Linked DNA regions of Caenorhabditis elegans. The protein of the gene in region 1 interacts with the protein of each later gene in a pairwise test. Each region holds a gene or a part of one and is shown in the gene's direction. Other genes may lie near its edges.

What was found.
Region 2: the proteins of far-2 (region 1) and lin-37 interact in a two-hybrid assay, tested with the Caenorhabditis elegans proteins (3 studies listed by BioGRID).

What each region holds. Positions count from the first base shown.
Region 1 is NC_003281.10:9,077,581-9,086,225, forward strand, and holds far-2 (Fatty-acid and retinol-binding protein 2), read left to right. Parts: upstream 1-4,247; 5' UTR 4,248-4,249; coding exon 4,250-4,757; intron 4,758-4,829; coding exon 4,830-4,870; 3' UTR 4,871-4,931; downstream 4,932-8,645. Other genes in the region: F02A9.1 (uncharacterized protein), read right to left, coding at 73-219; far-1 (Fatty-acid and retinol-binding protein 1), read right to left, coding at 2,893-2,933, 2,989-3,074, 3,123-3,328, 3,382-3,597; mrpl-44 (Large ribosomal subunit protein mL44), read right to left, coding at 7,308-7,512, 7,567-7,656, 8,253-8,499, 8,548-8,645. UniProt on the Caenorhabditis elegans protein: Probably binds lipids.
Region 2 is NC_003281.10:7,069,101-7,078,548, reverse strand, and holds lin-37 (uncharacterized protein), read left to right. Parts: upstream 1-5,996; coding exon 5,997-6,121; intron 6,122-6,170; coding exon 6,171-6,305; intron 6,306-6,742; coding exon 6,743-7,022; intron 7,023-7,069; coding exon 7,070-7,239; intron 7,240-7,429; coding exon 7,430-7,547; 3' UTR 7,548-7,659; downstream 7,660-9,448. Other genes in the region: ZK418.6 (G-protein coupled receptors family 1 profile domain-containing protein), read left to right, coding at 400-533, 579-742, 796-926, 979-1,195, 1,508-1,715, 1,764-1,935; ZK418.13 (Pollen-specific leucine-rich repeat extensin-like protein 1), read left to right, coding at 2,200-2,253, 2,520-2,875, 3,239-3,416, 3,720-4,265; ZK418.5 (BOS complex subunit TMEM147), read left to right, coding at 4,716-4,788, 4,835-4,968, 5,146-5,343, 5,394-5,530, 5,581-5,716; tmem-17 (transmembrane 17 domain-containing protein), read right to left, coding at 7,664-7,825, 7,893-8,015, 8,064-8,177, 8,230-8,268; R01H2.8 (uncharacterized protein), read right to left, coding at 8,989-9,075, 9,120-9,251, 9,291-9,446.

The sequences.
Region 1 (8,645 bases):
CAAGTTTCCTACTTTTGAGTTAAGTTTAAATGTTTAAAATTTCTTGGTTGAAGTCTCAAAACTATCTCTTACCAGAAAACGTATATTTACTTCGCAACCGTTTTGATCTTGACAAACCATTGCCAAAAACATTTTATCATATCTCGAGTTTTGATTATTTATTGATGCTACCAAACTAACAAAACTTAGAGCAAATAATGAGTGAAACATAGCATTCATGATCTGAAAAATTTGTTTGTTTTGTTTTAATGCATAAAACGAGGAAGAGACCAAATGATCAATAAATACAACAGTTTCAAATGTAAGCAATGTTTAGAACCCATATTCATTCAAATTTCTGAAAAGAAGTATCTTAAAACTACTGTAGGTGCTTTTTGGTTATGTTTCTCATACTTACGGCCTTGCTGGGCAAGTGTTCAAAATACTTTCACATCTCAAGAAAAGAGCCTATTGATGGCTTTGTCAGTGAAAAGAAACACCGTTAGACAACTTAAGCCGTTGCCTCACAGATTTTTGGCTTATGTAGTTCAAGATCGGTGTCCGGTAATCTTCGGAACAAAATATTAAAATCATATGATTTTAAATTTAGTGATGTTTGAATAGATTATTCGATCTAGCAGTTATTACAAAATTTGAATGCTAAGTTTATCACGTATATACAATTTTTCTATAAAATTTGCAATTGGGCCTTTGTTTGGAAAATAAACTGGAAAAAGAAAACTATACATTGAGAAGGTTTTATTTTTTGAAAAAGTGAGCTATACATGTATCCCTCAGGATTATAGACCGCCACTAAAAACCACGCATGGAATTCAAGTGGTTTGAAAATTTGATATAATTGTGAAGTGTTTTCTGTTTTCACAAAAACACACTAGATGAAAAATTCCAGTTAAGAAAAAAAAAAGAATTTTTCTAGTCTTGAATATATAATTTTCACACGAACAAATCTTCTGAAACTAAATAAAATCAGCTGTGTGAAATCTATGAAGTGGCGCCTGAAAAGTATTCAGCAGGAGAGGAGGCAATTGAAGGGACCCACGTCGTCTGATACAGCCCCCTTCTGCTCGTGTTTTCTGCTGCTTATTGCACCAAAAAAACGGCGAAAACTAGAGAAAGACGGAGTTCACAGCTTCTCGAAAAAAACGAGAGTGGATGAAAGAGAAAATGGAGAGACTGACTAACAAAGAAATACTGGAACTCCTTCTTTTTGGAAATTGTTTTCCGAGAGAGAGAAAAGTGGAAAAATTGTTCGACGTACTTTTGGGAAAATTTATAACTTTTACAACGGCAAAATGCAGGCTTTACACCTATAAATTTTAGCAAAGTTCTAGAACCAAGAGAAACTCATTCGAGGAGAAAACCGCAGTCGATTAATGGACACAGAAGAGCTGGGACACTTCTTCATAATAAGCTATTTTATTTATTATTTTTATTCAATTTTAGTGTTGTAATATACAAAACTGTTTGCTCAATCTGGAACCAAAAGTACTTTTTTGTTGAAAGTTTGAAATAGGTTTTCGAAATTTGCACGAAAGTTGCCAATTGCCTCCGATATTCCGTCGGAATTTTTGAAAAAAACTTCAGAGAAAAACTAAGGTTCAGAGAAAATGTAAATTATGAATGTGTGCTCTGAGATAAACGCAAAAAAATGCTGAAAGTAAAAAGAGATGAGATTGTGTACGGAAATAGAGGCCGTGCGCGGATTATGGAAGTCACAAGGAAAAATAAAAAATAAATACATACACGGAGAGAGAAAAGAGAAAAAGTGAAAGAAAAATGAAGTCGAGATTGTTTTTGTGCATTTCTATTCTATGTGTAGAAAATTTAAGACGTTGTGGGTGGAATACTTTTCAGATTATCTGAGCCGCTTATTGTAAAATAATCGTAATTTTTCTGTCAAAAGAAGGGAGTATGATTGGAGATGGTAGAAGCAGATTGAAAAGATTAGGGATTATATGATTGGAAAGATTTAATGTTTGTTGTTAGTTGTGCATTATAGTATTATTGATGTATAGAGGTGGTTTTAGAATCTTGAACACGCTCTGAAAATTGCGGATGAGTTGCCCATTGGTTTGATTAAGAATTGAGAAATGAGTGAAAAGTATAAAAATAGATAAAAATCAGTAACGTCGAAAATAACAAATGATTTTTAAAAATAAATTTTAATCAAGTACATCTTGATAACAATAATTTTATAAATTCAACAACTTCATCATTATGTCATTTTAAAACATTTGGACAAGCTGGACACTTCATCGAATGGATGGCGGAATTCTCTTCTTTGCTGGATTGTCAACGTTCGGGTCCTACAACAAAGATGCATCAACGTTTATTCTCGTTCAGCGTTGGATGGTGGATGTCAGATATTATGGATAGTGCTTCAACTGCCTTAAAGCACAGTGAATTCCTCTGTTTAGAACCTGAAATAACGCTATTTGATCCCAAGTACCTAAAATCAATATGGTTATGTTTCTTAATTGAAAGGATGCTATTTGATTTTGAGTACTTGAAACAATATAAGTTTTGACAGGCTTGCAATAAGATGGGACTTTGATTTTTAGGTTTTTTTTAAATTCCAATCTCTAGCAACTTCTGTGCAAGTTTTTTAAATGGCCAATTGACAAGTCTCAAGCATCGACTTTGCAGACTTTTTTCTCCGTTAAATCTTTCCAATTGTCTCCGATCAGTTCTTTCACTAAAAGTAATTTATCTTAGAGGCCCGAATGCTACTGTTGTGAGGGCATCATTTGTTTGAGATACCAACTGCTACTGATTTAATGAGTCATTACAGAAAGCATCAAGTTTTTATTGCGATTCAAAGTTTATAGAAAACCAATAACCAACCATTAAGCTTATTACATTAAAAACAAAAAGAAAATGCGAAATGGAAATTTAGTTGAGGTATTGTCCGACCATGGCTTGAACCTTCTCGTCTGAAAATTAATATAATTATTAAATTGAAAATTATTAGAAGTTTATTAAACTCACTCTTGAAGAATCCGGTGAGGATTGGGAATTCCTTGGCGATGGAGTCCTTGGCATCTTGGGAAAGTCCCTTGTAGGCTTCGATGTGGCTGAAATGTTATCCTGACAGAGAAATTTGTAATTTTCTCGAAACTTACGTCTTGGCGGTGGTCTTGAGGGTGTCGAGGGATGGCTTCTCTCCGGCCAAGTATTGAGCGTGGATCTTACGTCCTTCAGCGATAGCCTTCTTGACGAAAGCCTTAGCCTCATCATTGAGAGCGTTGACCTTGTCCTTGACGATTTGGTGGAGCTTGGAGGCCTTCTCGTGGAGAGTTGGAGACTTTTCCTTGAGGGCGTTCAAGAACTGCAATTTAATATTTTGATTATTGGTCTAGAGTTTTCAATTTTCAGACTCACATCATCCTCGCTCTTGAAGTCCTTGTATCCCTTGGCGACCTCCTTAAGAATAGCCTTCTCTTCTGGGGTGATGGACTTAAGATGCTCGGAGACCTCGGCTGGGATAAGGGACTTGTATTCAGCTGGGATATCGTCATAGTTCTCTGGGACCTCCGGGACTGGAGCAGAGAAGGCGAGGGCAGCGACAGCGGCGAGGATGATAGTGGCACGGATCATTACTGAAAATTTGAAAGATTATGAGAATCGGGGATGTGACGAAGAAGAAGAAGAATAAGAAGAAGAAGAAAGCGAAATGAGACTGAAGTGTTGATTTCCATTGTTCTGAGCATCTTTTAAAGTCGAACAAAAAGAGGCGGACCACATGGTGACCCCAGAAGAATTACAATCAACTAGCGAGAGTGTAGTCCTTTGAGAGACTCAGAAAATGAGCAATTCAAATGGGCGGAGTCAGTGAGATAGAGCAGTTGCGAAGAATCAGCAGCAGCAAAGGGAATCGAAATAGAAATAGAAAAAAGAAACATTTTTTCCTAAACTTCATTACACTAAAAGTGGTTTTTTATAATAGAAATAAGGGAAAAATGAGGTCTGCGTCTCGAAGGGAACGTGATATTTCATCGGAACTCTCATGGTTCAACGCACTATTTCGTTGATGAAACGAGGTTCAAACATACATCATCCAAGGTCGTATAAAAGATCGGCTGGCGGAGCAGAATCGGCACAGCAGAAGCAGCTCAAAGCTTCATCTTCTACTTCGAAACTTTGCTAAATGGTTTCTTTTTTCTAGTTTACTGGTTCTTTAACTTTGATATCACCTTCTATTTCTATTTCACCTTAAAATTTCCCACCCCTAATTTAAAATATTGCAGTAATGATCCGCGCCTTCCTCGTCGTAGCCCTTGCCTCCGTGGCTGTCTTCTCTGCCCCAATCCCAGAGGTTCCACAGAACTTCGACGACATCCCAGCCGAGTACAAGGGACTCATCCCAGCTGAAGTTGCCGAGCACCTCAAGGCCATCACCGCTGAGGAGAAGGCTGCTCTTAAGGAACTCGCCCAAAACCACAAGGAATACAAGACCGAGGAAGAATTCAAGGCTGCTCTCAAGGAAAAGTCTCCATCCCTTTACGAGAAGGCTGGAAAGCTCGAGGCTCTCCTCACCGCTAAATTCGAGAAACTCGATGCCACCGCTCAGGCTCTTGTCAAGAAGATCATCGCCAAGGGACGTGAACTCCACCAACAATACCTCGCCGGAGATAAGCCAACTCTTGATTCTCTTAAGGAACTCGCCAAGGGATACATCGCTGAATACAAGGCTCTTTCTGATGACGCCAAGGCTACCATCACCGCTGAGTTCCCAATCCTCACTGGATTCTTCCAAAGTGAGTTTTAAAATTCTGAGATTTTTGAGCATTCAAATTGTTTAATTCAAACAATAATTTTATTATTTTCAGACGAAAAGATTCAAGCCATCGTCGGACAATACGTCAACTAAGAAGTAATAATTATGATATGGTTTTCCAATTATTTTCCCCCAAAATAAAGTATTTTAATTCAAATAACGATTGATTGTTCTCTAGAAAAGATGGAAAGAATTGAAGTTTGGTCGGTGAAATGAATCCCAAATGGCTACCACATGTCGGCTTCACGTAAAGCACATTTTCGAAACTTTCGAGTTGTCTTCACAAAGTTTATGGGTTTTGTTGTGGTTGTTGTGATTGTAAACAATATGGTTCCGAGGTCCATTGAGCAGTTGAAAGAATTGGGTACAAAGTGCAGGGTTACGGTAGCTTATTTGCCAACAACGTAATTCAGAAACTGGAAGGACAAGTTGCATAGTTTTTTGAAGTTTGAAAAGCGCAGGTAGGAAAACTTGATAATTTTTCAAAATTTCCAAAAGAGAATAAGTCAAAAACTAATAGGTTTTGCAAAAAAAATTTCTACATACAAAATATAGGTCATAACGTTTTCTTTGTTTTTGTTATTGACAATTTGTTATCAACTCTTCTTTGAAAAAAGTTAAAGCATTTGACATCTGGCGGCTTAATTTTTTCCAATCATTTTTGGAGCTTTCTGTAATTAACTGAATTTCATGGTATTTTCAATTAAAAAAAACAGATTTTCATTCTTTATGCTCCTCGAATTCGATTCTTCAACATTTTTGATAGAAAATGTTAAAAGTGCGACATCGTGGTCGCGTTTTTGTAAAGCTCATTTGCAGAACTTCATAGCATTTGTCAATCCGTGATCTCTACTTTTCCATCTCTTTTTCAATCGAATCTAGAACATTCCAATCCCTATCATCTTATCTCTTTATCAATTTCATCAGGCTCTTCATTGACCCCATTACACTTTGATGTACCTGCAAACCTTAGTCAATGAGATGTTTTGTTTCAGTTTCATCAGAGGGATCTTCTGAACGCTTCAGACACTTCATAACACACTACAAACCACAAAGTATGTCTATGGCTCAATTGTGTCACGTGATGTCTTGCAGCTTTTTGAGAAATGAAAGAAGAAGAAGCTCAAAAGCACAAAGACAGTGTAAAAAAGAAAAAAAACTAAAGGTGAATCAGGAATCATGAAAAAATCAAAGAAAAAGTGCAACTTTATCTCTTTTTTATCATCACCACCAATTGCTCAAATTGTTCCCATTAATGCATGGAAGATGGAGCCAGGTGTGATGTGGTACTTCTCAATTTGTTTGGCTGAAAAGGTCATTGAACAACTGACTTGAAGAATTATGTCAGATTCTTTAAACTTTCACTCTGACAGAACAAAACTAATCTTGCGTAGTTATATCATTCGATTGTTACGTCGAAAATACGGTACCTGGTCTCAACGCGAATGCGTTTTGTTAAATGTGAAAAGGTGTGCGCCTTTTAAGAGTACTGTGATTTCAAACTTTGTGGAATTTTAATCGATTTTTCATAGTTTTTCTCAGGAAATCTATGTTTTTATATTGTTTGATTTTCGTTTTTTTAAAAGTTTATCGAAAATATGATTATCATAAAAAATATGTATATAATATGTTCATCGAAAAAATATACAAAATATTTTATATTATTATTATTGGCAAAAACAAGTACTTAGTTTAAAGAAGCAGTACGATGTGTTTGCACGTAAAATAAAATGCAAGAGTGCACTCAACAGAGCTCACCAACTACCGTAATCATAGAGAATGACGTCTGAATTTTCTTTTTCCGGATCTGTAAACCTGTGGTTTCTTACGTATTTTTTTCTGTAATGTCCATTACATTGGTGTGATCTATAATCGGTTGATAACTGACTGATAAACAAATGAATGAATTTTTCTATAATTCTATAGAACGCTCCAATTTCCACCTTCCACTGTTTATAAAATATTGTTCAAATTTAATCTTCCATCAACAAACTGCATATCAAATTTCTAATAAACAAGAAGAATCGTCCCATTGGGGCTTATCAAAGGGTCACATCTCTTGTGTATGTGCTCACGGAGCCAGCAGCGGGGTCTTAGATAAATGGGGTTGCATCTGGCCAAGGGGGACCCCATCATTTATCAAGGAGCCGATGGGAGGACAAAGAGCAAAGCGGAGATGGAAGGAAGAAGGGAACAACAAGAAGAGAGGAAAGGGATGCATTATGAATTCAATTTGAATTTTAAATGTGACTAATTTATGTTCCTTTAACAAGATGGGAACTGAATGGATTAGCTGTTGCCAATTTCGACTTCATTGAGCACTCATGTACAAGTGTGGAAATGGGGAAATGTAGTAGAACAAATAACAGAGTAAAATTGAAACTTTCACTATTCTAGCTTGATTTGAAAAATTTAACAACACAAACAAAAATGAAAGGAAAACTATTTGGAACAAAACAAAAAAAGAGGAAAAATGAGATAATACGATTGAAATCTGAAGGTTTAAAGGCTTCTCTCTAGATAATAATAATTAAGCAACCGTGTAAGGCTTCGGCTTGACAAGATATCTGAAGGACCGTTTCGCAAGCGAACCACGCGAGAATTTGTGTCGCAATCGTTTAGTGTAGCTCTTTCCTACTTCTGCATCAACCACATTTCGGTATCGGAGAACTGCTTCAATTAGATTGTCTGGTGATTCAACAGGTTGGCTATGGTCAATAATGTTCGTGTTTGTTCTGAAATTAAGAAGTAGATTTTCATTGATTTTGAAGATTGGTTTTGGCAAATACCCTGGAGAGCACTTCTGTGACAATGAGAAATTCGGTTGAGAGTATCGTTCCAGTGGTACATTGGCAGCACGATCGCCAAAGAAGAGGACTCTGAAAAAATTACTTTATTTTTAATTTCATAGAATTTAAACTTTCGCTGAATATTTTTTGCTGGAAAATCGGGTTATCTAGCTTCAAAATTCATGAATTTCGAAATTTGACTTTTGTTTTCAAAAAAAAAAGACACTCGAAAATGTAACTAGCGTAGTAGGTTCAAAAATGTTCCAAAAAAGCGTTTTAAACAGAATATTATCTGTTTTTCGCTTTTTCTGGGTTTTCGGCGAATTTTATTTTTTCGTTGTCTTCGGCTTTTTTTTGCCCCAGCCCTGCTTCTGATTAAGCTTGAAATTTTAATTTTTTAAATATCATCTAGATGCGAAATTTTGCGCCAAAAATACGGTACCTAGTCTGAACACGAAATTGTTTTTGAAATGTGTACTGTAACTTCAAGCTCTTGTTGCTGCTAAATTTTTATTGATTTTTCATTTTTTTCCCCCTAAAAACTACGAAAAATCTATGATAATTCACACTCTTTTACATTTTACAAAAAAACCGGGTACCGATTTTTTTGTGCAAAAATTGAAAATTTTCGCTTCTCGGTAATAGCTACAGGAGCATCGTATCAAATATTTTTTGATAAAAATTACTTTTCTGAAGTAATATCCCAGAGTCTGAGCAATGCTTCTCTAGCAGCCATATCAACAGCAATTGCCAATGATTCTCCAGCACTTTGTCCAACATTCTTCAATTTGTCCGCATAAATTGCAACAACATAGATCGGCTCTGCGCTGTTCTCTCCGGCCGATCGAAGAACTCGTGGCTCAATTTCAGTGACACCGTTAGATTTTAACAAATCAGTTACAACAGCAAGAGGATCGGCAAGTGGGTATATGTCTGCAATTTATGAAATAAAAATATAAATCTGGAAGATAATACCATTACCAGCAAAATCAATATCAACTAGTTGGGGAACTATGAAATCGATCACAAGATTTTTCACTTTTTCATCAGAGAAAACTCCAGCGAGAGCACGGAAAGCG
Region 2 (9,448 bases), 2.0 Mb from region 1:
GATATCTTGAAAATGTTCTAGCAAAGCTCTAGAATCCTAGCTCTTGTTCTAGATGTATTTAAGTAGTGTATACCAACATTTAAGTAGTGTATACCAGTAGTGTATTTCAACATTTTGTTTTGGCAAACTTTTGGCAAATTGTCTGATTTTCAACTAAAACTTGAATTTTTGAGTAACTTTGAAATTTGTTGAAAGTTCGAAACCATGTAATTATACAGTACAAATACTTAAAGCGTATTTGAAGAATAAAACTTGGAGAAAAAATATGTTTCCTTTGCTGGACTTCTACTCTATAGAGCTAATTAGTTTACTTTAGCTTCACACTCTATTTTGAAGTTTCATCAACTTTTTTTTAAACCTTTTGTCATTCTGAAAACAACGTAAATTACATTTTTCCAGGAACTCCATCGATCAGACACGTTTAGCACTTATTTTCTTGCCATCATACCGATGGTTTTGTCAATTATCACATTTATTATAAATCTAGGATACTTGATAGCTCAAATCAAATGTTTTAGATATGAAACTATGGGGTATGAGAATTGTTAGCGAAATCTCTGCAAGTTAAACATTTTCAGTTTCAAAAAAAGAGAGGCATTCCTAATGAGTCGATCATCATCAAATATCTTTGCCATTGTATTATTTTATGTTATACTTATTGTTTGGAAAGTTAACGGATTTAATTATGTTTCAGCAATGATTTTTATTATTATCGGAGGTAGCACGTTTATGTCAATTACTGGTTCGTTTAATCGCTAATTTAGAAATCTTAAAACTTTCATTTAAGCATTCCAGGTATCTATATAGTTCTGACAGTAATTTTATATATGGCCGTAGCCCATCACATTTCCTATATGACTACGATAACTCTTACACATTGCTGGCTAATTATTGGATTAATTTGGATAATATCAACTGTTACATCTGTTTGTTTTCTTGTCCATCAATTGTGATTAGTAAAAAAAAATAGTATTCTAGGTTTTTGTTGGAATGTGGGGAGCAACACTTTTCTATCCAGACTCTGCTCCTTTTACCTGCTCATTTGAATCTTGTCAGCAGCCGCTTGCAATTGTGATAGTGATTATGTTATCGATATGTTATGGTACAGTAATCGGTTTATATATTGCAATGATGGCAAGAATTCATCAATTAGTTCGAAAGTCTTCTATGGTTCAAGCTAGATGCAATTCAAATAGTAAGTTTTGGATTGAAATTTAATGATTTTGGGGTTCTTTTTCTGCTTTTTCGATTTACGAGAGTTTTTGACAATTTCTACTTTTCTTTGCCGGAGATAACTCAAAAGATCATTTTTTAAATGTATTTGAAAAAAAAAATTCAAAGCTCGTGTGCTGTGGATATTTAATTCCTGGTATTGTTAACATTTCCTCAAGAAAATAAGAAATTAATATCTTTCATTAATCTATACTTCACATCTTTTTAGAACTTTCTAGATGCCTCTATCCCACAACAATTCTATTTAAATAAAGAAGAACTTTCTGATTTTAAGGTATGATTGCGATGCGTCGATTGAGTATGAATATGATAACTTTTGCCATTGGAACTATTCCTATTCTTATTGTTTGTATAGTTGCACTTGTAAATCTGAAAGAGCTTTCATCATTAGGAGAAGGATGTAAAAGTCCCTGTAAAACATTTCGTCTAAGTTATCTCCTTATTGACGTTGAAATGATGGCAAGTATATCAGCGATTGTTTGGTAAGTTGAGAAAATCTATATGATATTGTTACACGAGATATTTTTCAGGCTTATCGCTATGATTGCTGATCCTGTCATTAATATATTATCGGACAAAAAGCTGCGAGGCGTTTTCATCAAACAATTTTCAAAATTTCCATCGATTTTTAGGAAATCTAAAGAAAGAACCACATCAATCACAGAAGTTTCAGAGGACCACTCTGAAGTCGAAAAGTTGTGAATATTTAATCAGTTTTACACAATAAAAAATCTACCTCCTGTAATAACAAAAGTTCAAAATATCAACCAAAAAAAAACATTTCATTTGTAAATCTAGTAACACACAATTTAACTAAATTATTCAAAACGTGTTCACTTTTAATTCGTTTCATTTTTCGAAACCGTGCGAAAAAAAGTTATCTTGATTCAATTTCAATTTATTCAACCAATTTCAACACGCATTCCTCAAATTGGCGTTATTCATAACTTGGTAACAATAGGACAAATGCAGCAAGCCTCAGAAAAGAAGAAAAAACGAGAGGCCGCCAAGAATCCGCAGGTGGGGGAAAGATCGGCTTTTGTCACATGGCCGTGAGAAGGGAACACTCGGCCATCAGTTTTTTTTCTCGCGGCCACGGGACATCACAATTACATCGCGATGTGCGTATAATTCATAACGAAATCGGTCAATCGCAATACGAAGATTTCTAATTTCGTGTGTCCGCAATGTTAAACTTTGGAACGAACACCAAAAGGTGTTTTATTGTCTGGCCCGCAGACATATGTGAATAGTAAAACCTCATTCACAGTACTCTTAATTTCCAGGTCAGCGTCCGCCTGAACGTCCGTCCACTTCGTGCAAACTGGAAGCCGGTGAAAATTTACGACGAAGAGCCGGCCCCGCCGAAACAAAACCACGTGGCAAGTCCAGCCGAAGATCAGCTTGACACAAGTGTCTGGAAATCGAAGCACATTCGTACGGATGTCATAAAAGCGGTGGAGCTTGGGAAGAGCCCGAAACGAGTTCCTGGTTTGGTTGGAAAATGTGATTGTGCGTGTTGTGGAAGAGCTGACGATACACAGACGGTTTGTGAGCAAGGTGGAGCTGCTAAAGATGAGTATTTGGAGGAGAAGAAGCGTAGATTGCAAGAGGCTAAGAAGAAGAGAAGACATCACAAGAGGTAGGTCTTGCCACGATCTTCGTGGATTTTCCTGAACCCGCAGATCGGTTTTTTTCTACGTGACCATAAAAAAGAAATCACGGCCATCGTATTTTTTCGTGGCCACATGTGTAGCAAAATGATTGGTAAACGTTCCACTGACAATGGTCTTAGAAGGGGGAACGAGCTGATTTCCGAGGGTACGCTTCTAATTTTTTTTATGAGGGTGACCGAGTTTTCGTATTCCGCGGCCACGTAGTAGAAAAAGTATACGTAAAACAACAAGGTGTATAAACTTACGAAATCAATATACAGTACCTTCACTCTGCTCTTTTATGGAGACATAGATCGAAAAAGTTCTGAGAAATTGAAATATATTTCTAGTCAATCAAACAAAAAACGTCGTCATCGTGGTGCAACGCGAACCCGTTCAATCTCGTCACCTCCACTTCCACCACCAGCTCCACCAAACTCCTTTATGTCTCCGGATAATCAGACGTTGTGGTGTAAGCTCTATGAGCAAACATGCCCACCGCCGGCAAAGGCAATCGATTTGAAGATGGTTAGCATTATTACGATTTGTAATGCCTCGGGTCCTGGCACGAACAAATTTTTTCAGCTATCGTACCCGCATATACGGTGGATTTCCGTTTTTATTGATATTTCTAGTGTAATAATTTAATAGAAAACTAATTAAAAACACAAAAAAGTACGAAGACTAGCGGGTACTCGAGATGAAAAGTATGCGGACGTGTCAAGACTTCGCTCCCAATTTAGCTTTAAAAATATTTAAGTTCGCAAAAAAATAATTCGATGAAATCGAATGTAATTTCTATTAAAATTATTTTCAAATTATGAATTACAGCTCCGAAACCTGCCTGGCCAAATCGGAATGTCTGAGCTGGAGCCGGAGGACCTTGAAGTTACACCGGACCCACCCGAATTCATTCCACCCCGGTCCCCAGGTCTCCAAATCATGAAGCCACCGCCCGTATCGCCTCCGTCTAACATTCCCGAGCTCATCCATCATCAACCGGCACTTGTCACACAACCCGAATCAAGACCAGATCCAAATTTGATCATTTTGCCGGCTCCAACTGATGTTCATCCGCCAAAGTCCCCGGTGCACCATGTTATCAAGCAAGAATCCATGAAGGACATCCCACCGGGATCACCTGCATCTCCAGGAGCATGGTCTGGCTCCAATAGCTCGTTGATCTTTATGCCATCTTCTACTCAAGCACCGGAACATTATGCTATTCCATCCGTTTCCAATGTTTTGATGTTTCGTAAAATGGAACACATTTTCTACAGCTCGGAATCCAACTGGTGGTTGCTCGTGGCACTGGTGATGCTCACAATTTTTGCGTACCGCTCTTCTATGGAACAACACACTTGCTATTACGATTGATGATTATGATTATAAAGATCTTTTTATTTGTAAATTATTTGTTTTAATACGAATTCGAAAAGTCTGCCATATGATAGAAAGTCCTATTCAAACTTCGCGCGTAAATGGTTCTCAATAAAGCGCGGTTGCACTACTCTTTTTTTGTCGCTCTTCGTCAACTTCTGGTAGCGTGAGCCCTTCAAATATCATCATTCAAATGCCCATTTTATCGATTTTATTGAATTTTAGTTATTTTAAATCCAATGATTATTCTCAAAATGAATTTCATAATCATCGGCTGGTGTTTTTGAAGGTTTCTAGTGTGTCCAAACGAAATTTATAGTCCTAAAATATTAACATTCAGTAATTCATAATTGCTTAAGAATTAAAAATTACCTTCTTTGTTCCTTGATATCAAGTATATAGTTTTAATATTAATTCAATATCTTTCAGGTAAGCTAAATCTACAAAATGTCATTTTTCCATTTCATCAATTGCTTCGCGTTGGCATTTGCACCATATTTTATTGTCTACAAATACTCAGGTAATATTTTTTATGGGAAGTCAATGAAACACCACTATTTTTATAGGAATTAACGAATACAGTTCCATCTGGAAATGTGCAACTGCTAGTGGTGGATATTTGCTGACACAACTCGCCAAACTGCTTATCATTGCCACATTTTTCCCAGCCCTCGACAGTGAAGGATTCAGTATTGTGCCGGTATGTAATTAATTTTTCTATTCAAAATTGGAGCTATAAATAACGTTTCAATGAAAATCATTTTAATTCAAGTTTTAAGTGAAATTTACCATAAACCCATCCTCGCCGGACATAATCCTTCGGACACTTCAAACTTATTGATTTTGGTTTTCATTGCCAATCTCAGAATCATTGCAGGAATTCCTAAAAAGCAGTGCTGACATCATCGATGTCATTGGGCTTCACCTTCTGATGACCAACTTCTTAGCCGGAAAAGGAGAAGTTCGATTCGTTGTCGGTGGTCTTGGCTGGGGATTCGCTCATTCTGTTGCTCATCGTCTTGTTCTTTTATGGGTTGGAGCTCGTGGAACCGCTTTCACATGGCGTTGGGTTCAGGTGATCAAATCTTCCTTTTTTCTGAAAAAAAGATAATATTATATTTTCAGACATCTCTTGATTCCTCAGCTGATCTATTGGTTATTGTGTCTCTCGCCTGCCTTACATGGATGATCACCCGCACTCCAAACAAGTTCTTGGTGTCACCGATCCTTGCGATGTGTGTCTTCTCAACATTCGTTTATCAGTAAGTATTGGTTTTACTAGTCAAAAAATGTAAATTTTTTTTTATTTCAGAACCGTTCAACACACATTCTCTCTCTACGGATGGTCTCTCTTGGCATTCCGCTTTGCCTACTCCATCGCAACAGCAATTCTCACCGTCGTTGTCTATTCGGCAAACCGGACAGCGTCCACAAGAAAGAACGAGTAGCAACACATATTCTGCTATAATTCACTTTTTGTCAGTTTCAATACTATCTTAGATTCTTTCAGAATTTATATATTTATTCGAAATTTTCTTCTCTCCTTGTTCATGTTTATACAAGTACCCAAAAATATTTATTGTTTAATTTAATAACTGCTTCAAAAATTGTCGTCCTTATATTTACTCTACAATTTTTATCTCTTTTTATTAAAGGTTAAATACCTTTATTACTTTGGCAAGTATTCGCTGTTCACTGTCCAAATAATGTATTCCTCTCCAATTCTAGATGTCAGAAATAGATCCACTTGCCGAGTTCTTGCTTCCAGAAGACGGAGATCGAAATGCTCGTCAAAATGATCCATTGATAAGCGGAGGTCCACTTCCATTGGAATCGCCAAGCAGAAAACTCACGTAATACTTTCTAAACTTGAAACAATTGTGCTACTCAAGATGCTTCCAGATCCCTGTTATCCTATGATCCGACAGTTCCGGAGTCACCGGATATGAAATTCGCCAGAAAACGTCTGGGAAATCTGCTGACAACCATAAAACATCACCCATCGGAAATAATTGGAGTACTCCCAGAAGATTATACGTAAGTGATAAAATGGAAAATTTCAATTCTTGTTTAATTTTCGGCAGAGTATACCATGCCTGGGGCGAAAAATCATTTTTTTTTTGGTTTTGATTTTGTATCAAAAAGCAAAAATATGTAAAAAAGCCAAAAAAAAATTGGAGATTGAATTTTAAACCTTAATATTTGAGAAAAAGAATTAAAAACTATGCAGAGCCACATTTAGTTTGAAAGAAAAGTAAAATAAATTTTGTACACAGAAAACGTTTACAGTAAATACAGCATTTTTTTTCAGTTTTTTGGTTCCAGATAAATAGTTAATTTTTGTCAAATGTCGCGTCCTGGAATATACATAACAGAAAAAAATTTAGACAATGTGGACCTTTTTGTTTTTCGTAATATAAATTTTAGACATAATTGAAAAATTAGAGTTTCCATTGCATTTTTTATAATTTCAGTCGTGCTGATGAAGAGCCCGGGCGCCAAGGACGTCCACCAGGTCGCCCTCGTAAGATGCCGCGTCACGAATCTTCAACTTCACTTATGGAATCACCACGCAAGACTATGACTCGTGATTCTAAAATTATGTTTGAATTGCGTGGAAAACCATTCGAAATGATAGCTGGACGTTTTGAAGAAGAATATTCACTTGGTAGAGCATGGGTTAAAGGACACATGAATAATGAATATGAACCAATAAAAGCTCAAAGGACAGACTATGCACCGAATCTGGCTGTTGTGAGTGGGAAAGATTAAATGAAAAATGTTATAATTATTTCCTTCAGGATTATCTTGCATGTCGCGAGATTCATCGAATGCCACGTCCAGATAAATCAATTCCTGAGCTGCCAATTGTTCCATCTAGAATCGATGAATTCGACGCTACAGTCGATCCAAGATATGAAACAGATTTGAAAAATGAATACATTCGTCATTGGAAACAAGTCAAAAAAGGGTAACACTTCTTCTGCCATTGAAAATTTCCGTAAAAATTTATTTCTTAAAGTATTACGGTAACTGTGCTCTATGTTAGAATTTCATTTGTCGAATTTTGTATCAAACTATAAAATAAAAAATATTGTACTAGCAATCTGTGATCACTACTATTTCTTCAAAGTCAGAGAATCCAAAAAAAAAAATTTCAGTTGGTGTGCTCATCAACGTCGTCGGACTGCTCCCCATGCAAGAAGCATAGCATTAATCAACAAAATCTACCAGCCTGGAGAGTCGAAAACTGTCGAGCAAGCACTTGGTCTTATTTAAATATTCTAACATGTAATTTCAATTTATCTCTTACTTTCTGATCTTGCTATCACATGTCTCTTATTTCAAAAATCTCACTTTAAAATTCATATAAATAATGGGTTTATTCAAATACATCATCTTGACAATTGTTTTTTCAACGTTTTTCTTCCACTTTTTGGAGATTTTCCTGAAGTTTTCTCGAGCTCGTCAGCTACTTTTTCTTGTTGAATCTTGTTAATATATTTTGCAACTTCTCGTTCGGCAGTTTTCATCAAAGCTTCTATAGCGAATACAGTCTGAAATAGAAATATTTTGAGAATATTCAGATTTTTGAATTTTCACTTGAAATCCACTAAAAATCACAATCATTGTGTAGAAAACGTATTCAAGTGGGAGATTCAGAAAAGAGCCATTCACTGCCAAGAATACTGTAAGAGGAATTTGAATAATAATTGTAGTTATTAAGAATCCAAAAAGAGCTGACATCTGTAAACACTAGTGTCGATTTTCTGACTTGACTCATTCAAAACTTACATTTTCTGCCAAATTTCCATAAAATCCAAGTCCTAGCCGTACTCCTTCACTTCCCAAATGAACTAAACACGCAGAAAATGCAATTACTTGATACGTTAATGACAGCAGACTATGCTGAAATTCAAATAATGCTCTAAGTATGTTCCACTGTAATTTTTTTTTTTACCTTGAAGTATAATGATAAGCATAGATTAATCAAATGCATAGGATAGATGCATAAGTTGAAATATATTGCAATTTGAAGTGGAAAACTTGAGATTATTTCTGTAATAATTTTTTAAAAAAGTTGTGAAAAGTGGTTTTTAGAGATTCTCACCCAACTTAAATGGTTCTTGTGATAGATTTTCCATTTTTAATAGCACTAGGACCCCAAAGAGGTTACGAGGCGGTGGGCGGTTACTATGGAAACCAACCACAGAAAGGGAAATGGTGCTCCAATGTGGAGATGGAGATGGAAATGTGTAAAACGAATTGAGAAAATGTTAAGCTACAATTTCAGCTATTTCTTTATGAGCAAAATATAATTCGTCAAAACATGAACCTAAACTTTTAAAACAATGTTTCGCGAAAATTTTAACCATTGATTGTTCATAGTTTTTTTTTAAAATGATTTTATCCCTTCATTTAGCTCTGCAATCAGGCTCGTCTTAAATGTGGCATTACGTTCTCGGGTCTTGCCACGAGCTAAAATTTTCAGCTACCGGACTTGCTAATATTTTGCAACTTCACATTGAGGGTTTATTAACTTTATGATTTTAATTGTACATCTGTATATTTATTAGCAGATTATCGAAAAGAGTATATAATAATATTAGAAAATTCAGCGAAAATTGCAATCTACCGTACTGGCGGTTACTGTAGCGGAATGGTTAAAATCTTTGTAGTTTTCGTTAATACATAATGTTATTCATTCTATTTACAACAATTAAACAACACAGCAAACAAGATTTAATTTTTCGGGTCCCGGTCGGTCACAGCACGTTGTTATGAAGTTGAATCGTTGTTTTAAATGCTGAAAGTTTTGATTTTTCGTAGATCTTTCTACTGTAGACTCACTAATCTAGGACAACATCCATTAAGTAACTGACGTAAAGAGCATGAATTACATGGAATACACACGTTTATACATGAAAAGTCTGCCATTTTTGGAACGGGGTCTTGATAAATATTTAGGCGGAACCATTGAGGCTGAAATAAATCTTTTAGATTATTTGAGAAAAATCAAACCTTTAGACATCCTATCAAAATTGCTCCAATGACTGCTAACGCGAAAATTGTAAAAATTACAATCAAAAATATTAGAGTTACCAAGTTTTCTGCTTCCTTATCTAAATTAGTTTTTCCTAAATCAGTCAGAAAATCGTTCTGTAGTGTTGAACTCATTG